2 linked regions of the Ovis aries genome follow. The protein of the gene in region 1 purifies or fractionates together with the protein of each later gene. This does not show direct contact. Links are inferred from orthologs where the notes say so. Each region holds a gene or a part of one and is shown on either strand. Other genes may lie near its edges.

Region 1 (2,679 bases):
CGTAAAGAGGCATTCTGAGGCTAGGAGACCACGTACCCTGCTGTCCCCACAGGTCTACATGTGGGTGGGATCCCAGACCAGCCAGGTGGAGATCAAGCTGAGCCTGAAGGCCTGCCAGGTGAGCAGGGGAGGAGCCGAGGCTGGGCCTGGCGGAGGGGCCGAGGCTGGGGCTGCCCTCACCAACCCCCTGCCCACCCCCCCAGGTGTACATCCAGCACATGCGCTCCAAGGAGCACGAGCGGCCCCGCCGCCTGCGCCTCGTGCGCAAGGGCAATGAGCAGCACGCCTTCACCCGCTGTTTCCACGCCTGGAGCACCTTCCGCCAGGCCCTGGCCTAAGGCCACCGCACTCCACCTCTATGGAGGGATAAGTGCCCCAGTGCCACCGTCCCCAGCGCCACCAGTGGGGTGACCCTAACCAGTGTCTCCAGGGGTCTGGCAAGGCAATCTCCCTCCACTCTGAGCTCACGTGTGACTTCCCCTCTTCTGCCAGGGATAAAGCAGGTGTGGCTGCCCTTTAAGAGATATTAAATGCTTTTATTTTCAATATTAAAAATCAGTATTTTTAATTTTAAAATGCTAATTTAACAAAAATGACAGAAAAAAAGCCCCCCAAAGTACAATGTACGGGAGACCCATCCTGACCCCCCACCACACACACACGCGCGCACACAAGGCCAGGCCTCGGTCCTGGTTCCCAAGTGGAGCTCTCACACACATACTTGCACGCAGCAGGGGGGTCGAGGGGGTGCTGGCCCAGGAGCAAGTACCAAAATAGTTTTAGAAATGACTGTGGTGCCCGGCACAGGCGTTAGAAAAATACTCTTTGTAAAAGGAGAAGGGGGGACGGCACATGGCCTGGGAGGTGGTAGCCGTGAGCCCTGCGGCCTCCCCTGTGGCGCCTGACCTTCCGGGTGGCCTCTGCCTGCAGGCAGGGCCTGGTGGAGTCCTGAGGCTCAGGGCCAGGCTGGCAAGCCCCACAGAACCCCGAAGTTAGCAGGTGCAGGTCTGCATGGAGAACCAGGCCCCTGGCTCCAGCTCCGAGCAGGGCAGGGTGACCCGGCAGTTCTGGCCTCCCTAGCAGAGAGAAACAAGATCAGCAGAAGACCAGGGAGATCCAACGGGGCAGGCAGCCTGGCCACACGTGTCCCACCACCAGTCTCCAACTGCCTGAACCCCGAGGCAAGGGAGGGGGCAGCAGTGACCCCGGCACAGAGGGAGCCACAGGGTCTGTGTCGGGAGAGGCTGGGGAGGTACTGACTCAGGACCAGGCCACGCACCTGCAGCCTCATTTGATCAGGATGGCACAGGCTCGAGCCTCCTCTTCTGACAGGTTCCGCAGGTTCTTCTCAGATTCCTCTGAGGAGCTGCAGGGAGGGGCAGCGGTCAGCAGATCTGGGGTCAGGCCCTCCTCGGTCCTTCATGCCCAGCTGGGGTATGAGGTTGGCTGAAGGGTTGGGGAGGGAAGTTGGGAGCGACCAGCCCCTCCTGTGGACCCAGCCAGCTCCTCACCCCAGGAAATCCTTTACGTCCTCCACCGTCATGTCCCCCGTTGTGTCCAGTGTGGTGTCGGCACTGGTGGCCGAGTCAATGGACATAGGTGAGAGCATGGCCTCAGGTGGCTCTAGGGTGTCTGCAGGGAGGAAGTGAACAGGGTCCTTCTAGGGCTCCAAGGCCCCGTCCACACTTGACCTGGCCCCAAACCAGCCCACAGTGGACCATGGCACCAACCCACCCCTCCCTGGACCCTCTGGAGAGCTGCCTCCTGCAGAGCACCCCCACCGCCATGAGACAAGCTGCCCAGCTAACGCGCGGCCTCCTCACCAGCCTCCTTGCAGATGGGATCGGGGCTTCCATCACGGCTCTGTGGGGCCAGGATGATGCCCGGGGTCCCGTTAGCCTGGCTCAGCTTGGGCGACTCTCGGGACCTGTGGCTGCAGAGATGGGCTGTGCTGCAGACCCTAGGCAGGCATCTCATGGCCTGAGAACCAGACCCCCGCCCTCCCATTCCTGAGCCCTGGGGCCAGAGGGATGACCGGGGAGGGCCACCCTGCTGCTTGCTCAATTGGGGGATGGAATGAGCCCAGCCTTGATCCCAGCGCTGCAACCCCCGGCCAGGGGCTACCCCTTCATGCACCTGACACAGGTGGCATCACGGGGCCAACGGACGTCCAGAGAGCAGAGTGGCTCGGTGATGTTCCGGGCACTCAAGGAGAAGCGCTCAAACTCCGAGGGAGAAATCAGGTAAAACCCTAGGAGGGGGCAGGAAGCACAGTAAAGGGCCATGTCCCTGCCTCCCGGAAGCCCTGACTGTAGCCGCCTGCCCGCCTCACCCTGGCCATGCCGTGTGAACACGCAGGAGGCGATGCCGCTGATGTCCTCTTTGCGGATGCAGGCATAGTGCACCTGGGGCCGCAGGCCCGGCACAGAGAACACGTGCACGTCACCCAGGTTAGTGAGGCAGGCCAGGCAGGTCTCCGTGTAGTCCTCGCAGGCCACACTGGCAAAGGTAGCCAGGGCCACTTTGCGCACGCGGCAGCCCTCATGGGCTGTCAGCTTGAACTTGGTCTTGGCGCTCACCTTGGGTAGCGTGAACACCTGGAGGTGGGTGGGGAGTGGGTACTAAGCAGAGCCCGGGCCAGTACACACCCCAGTATCCCCAGTCTAGCCTGGCCCCCAC
Region 2 (3,520 bases), on another chromosome or scaffold:
AGGGTAATCTCAGCCCACTCTCTGACTGCTCGCTGGGTTGGTTTACAAGCACAGTCAGGCTTTAATCATCCCACCAGTGCTGGGCTGGAGTCTGTCATGCTGCCTTTCCAAACCTCCTCATTTTCCAAAGACAAAGGAAGCAGAAGCATGCATGGCACCCATCTACAGGCAGACACAGAGACACACACGGAAGAGGCCACAAAGGCAAAACAAATCTTTTTAGGGCTTTTAAAAGTCAAAATACGTTGCAGTGCTTGCCATATACAGTGGTTATTTAAAACTTTCTTCTGCAAGACCAATTATCAATGTTTACATTCCTCCAAAATGATGACTTACTAATTTTCAGATAATTAACTAATTGTATTTTCTGTGAGAAACACCTTAGAGGAAAGCCAACAGTTAGAGGAGGCCTAGTACACGCCAAGGCTCTGCACTGAGCTCAGTTAAACCCCCAGCAATGCCATGAGATGGCACGTTCCTCCTGTAGATAAAGACACTGAAACCCGGAAGCACTGAGCTCAGTTAAACCCCCAGCAATGCCATGAGATGGCATGCTCCTCCTGTAGATAAAGACACTGCAACCTGGAAAAGTAAATAGCTTTCCGTCAAGTACCTAGTAAGTAGTAAACACAGTATTTCAAAGTTGTGACTCTTTGTGGCCCCATGAATTGCAGCCCTCCAGGCTCCTCTGTGCATGGGATTTTCCAGGCAAGAATACTGGAGTGGGTTGCCATTTCCTCCTCCAGGGGATCTTCCTGACCCAGGGATCCAACTCATGTCTGTTGCATCGGCAGGCGGGTTCTTTACCACCAGAGTCACCTTATGTACGTATACGTAAGTCGCTCAGTCGTGTCCGACTCTCTGCGACCCCATGGACTGCAGCCTGCCAGGCTCCTCTGTCCATCGGATTTTCCAGGCAAGAATACTGGAGTGGGCTGCCATTTCCTTCTGCAGAGGATCTTCCCAACCCAGGGATCGAACCCAGGTCTCCCGAGTTGTAGGCAGATGCTTTTACCTTCTGAGCCACCAGGGAAGTCGAGAATGTTTCTCTGACTCCAAAGCCACACTCTTCCTACCACATCTTTCTGAATGGACAAAATCACATTCAACGCGAAGATTCAATATATTCCTAATTTCCATTAAGAAAAAGAATCTAAAGGTTTACAAAGTAATCACAACTTTCTAAAGTGCACTTAATTAAGTGTAAAGATGTTAATAAACCAATAATATCACAGATGTCTTAACTCACTTGTTAATTTGCTAATAAGATTCACATAAAATGTCTAATTCCTTAAATTTGTGGCAAACTCTGTATATCCTATCAATGAGGAAAATTAACAACTTCTAATTCTCAAACAACTTCTCTGGATGTTGGTACTTACCCTTTTTCTGTATAAAGATCCTAAGCAGTGGGTTGGCCGTTGAAACAGCTTTGTGATAATTGTCGTCATTATTTATAGGTAGTAAATCGCCATGGATGTCTGCATAGCCTACTAAAACGTCAACATTGGGTATTTTATGAACATGTTGCAGTAATCCATAAAACTCCTCAAACTTTCCAGGTTTTGATCTTTCCAGTGAAAACCGGCGAAATTCAGCTCCAAACTACAAACAAACATATTAATTTTAAAACAGGATCCAATCTTACAAGGCATGACATAGAAAAATTCACAGATACGAGTTTCCTTTAATAAAGAAGACAGTTTCAACCACACAGTCGAAACCTCACTGAAAGTGAAAGTTGCTCAGTCATGTCTGACTCTTTTGCGACCCCATGGACTATACAGTCCATGGAACTCTCCAGGCCAGAATACGGGAGTGGGTAGCCTTTCCCTTCTCCAGGGGATCTTCCCAACCCAAGGATCGAACCAGGTCTCCAGCATTGCAGGCGGATTTGTTACCAGTTGAGCCACCAGGGAAGCCCCTAGAAACCTCATTATCTGGAGATAAAACGGCCTAGGGGAGACACAGAAATGTGCCTGCTCACTGCTGTATCTCTGAAGGGCATCCCCTTCAAGAGATGCAGGTTCGACTTAATCCCCGGGGTACCCAGGCCCCACTGGGGACTGTCCTGCAGAGTGACTCAGCTCAAACAAACCCTGTGTGGAGTCTGGATCCTGACAACAGTCTTCCCTCCTCACTCAGGCCACGGGGTAACAGAGATGAGCCTAAGTCTTTATTTTGACTGTCAGCAAAAAGCATCCAGGTTTCCTCCCCAATCAAAGGAGTAACAGCTTCATAGGAAGTGGCAGGAATTAACTGCAGCACAAGCAAGCAGGACTTTGAACTTCTTGGCAGCAAGGCGCCATATGAATGGAGGCATATTATAGGAGAAATGAGTCTAAAGACAGGAAGTGTCTTCCGTATGTTAATCTTTAAAAAAAGGGCACTTTTATTAATACATTAAATATATGTCGTACAACCGTCCAATTAATGCAAAAGTGTTTATGTGCTTGGCACAGTGCTAGGCCCTAGAGAATGAAAGGCTCGGGCCTGCACCCGAGCTCAGCAATTAGTGGGTAAAGAGAATAATTATATGAGCGGTATTAAGGAACCACACAAACAGGGAGGACGGCACTTCCATCATACCCAGTATTTATCCTCACAATTCTCATACTCACATCTGCTTCCCTACTCTAGAACCCAAATGCCGCATGATTTCGGTGGTTCTTATCTGACACGAAGGACTGGCTTCATCCAGTCCATAACAAACAGGATCTGTGACCTACTATGGAACCAGCACAGCATTTCCTCAAATGTGGAAACCTAAGAAAGATTCATCAGCCTTCCTCAAAAAGTGCCCCAGTCACACACATTTGGGAAATGCTATATAACTATAATCATGCTCTTGGGAATCACTGGGGAGACCAGTTATTAAAGGCGAGGTAAAGCCCTGGCGTTGATTAAAACAGAAAAAATTTTCAAAACAAACTGTGTGCCAAATGCATTTGACCACTGAATTCCTTTTTCCTCTAAGTATCTATTATTGGACAGTAACACTAGCTGTACTACCAACAAGGCCTTAAACATCATGCAGGCAAAGTCCCTACTGGAATTATTTGGTTACAAATGTGTCCGTTCACGTCCCCAAGGGTCCCGTGGGCTCCCTGGATTCACCGCTTTTGTTATGGCAAGTGTATCTGCCTCGCTTATACCCACACTATTTGCTAGTTTTCAATTAAAATGAAAACTCACTGAAACCACCTCTTACTTCTAATAAATTAAAAGTTTCCGAAACACATTCCTCAAACGTAAACACTAACATTTGTCAAGAAAATAAGGTGACTCACACCTAAAGCACTCAAAAAGTTTAGTCACACCTTCACGTTTCAAAGTAAATAAAAACTGAGGAACACCCTTCATATCAGAGTCAGTCTTATGATGTTATCAAAAGTCATAGTTTCTCCTCCATTTTCTTTATTCTGGTATCGCAACATCCCAGTGCATTCTGATTCATCCCCAGGTTTTATTACTTCCCCTGGTGAACGGGAGTAACAGCTAATAATTGAATATTTTAGGG

Evidence for each region.
Region 2: the proteins of LLGL1 (region 1) and PARD6B purify together in Homo sapiens (affinity purification with mass spectrometry; 5 studies listed by BioGRID and IntAct, counting the BioPlex papers as one, with this or other methods). This does not show direct contact. The link is inferred for Ovis aries from reciprocal best matches to the Homo sapiens genes LLGL1 and PARD6B.

The regions. Positions count from the first base shown.
Region 1 is NC_056064.1:34,146,686-34,149,364, forward strand, and holds the end of LLGL1 (lethal(2) giant larvae protein homolog 1), read right to left. Parts: intron 2,598-2,679; coding exon 2,137-2,597; intron 1,934-2,136; coding exon 1,824-1,933; intron 1,633-1,823; coding exon 1,512-1,632; intron 1,367-1,511; coding exon 1,288-1,366; 3' UTR 1,280-1,287; intron 1,077-1,279; 3' UTR 516-1,076; downstream 1-515. Other genes in the region: FLII (protein flightless-1 homolog), read left to right, coding at 53-118, 204-338. UniProt on the Homo sapiens protein: Cortical cytoskeleton protein found in a complex involved in maintaining cell polarity and epithelial integrity. Involved in the regulation of mitotic spindle orientation, proliferation, differentiation and tissue organization of neuroepithelial cells.
Region 2 is NC_056066.1:78,710,570-78,714,089, reverse strand, and holds part of PARD6B (partitioning defective 6 homolog beta), read right to left. Parts: intron 1,606-3,520; coding exon 1,383-1,605; intron 1-1,382. UniProt on the Homo sapiens protein: Adapter protein involved in asymmetrical cell division and cell polarization processes. Probably involved in formation of epithelial tight junctions.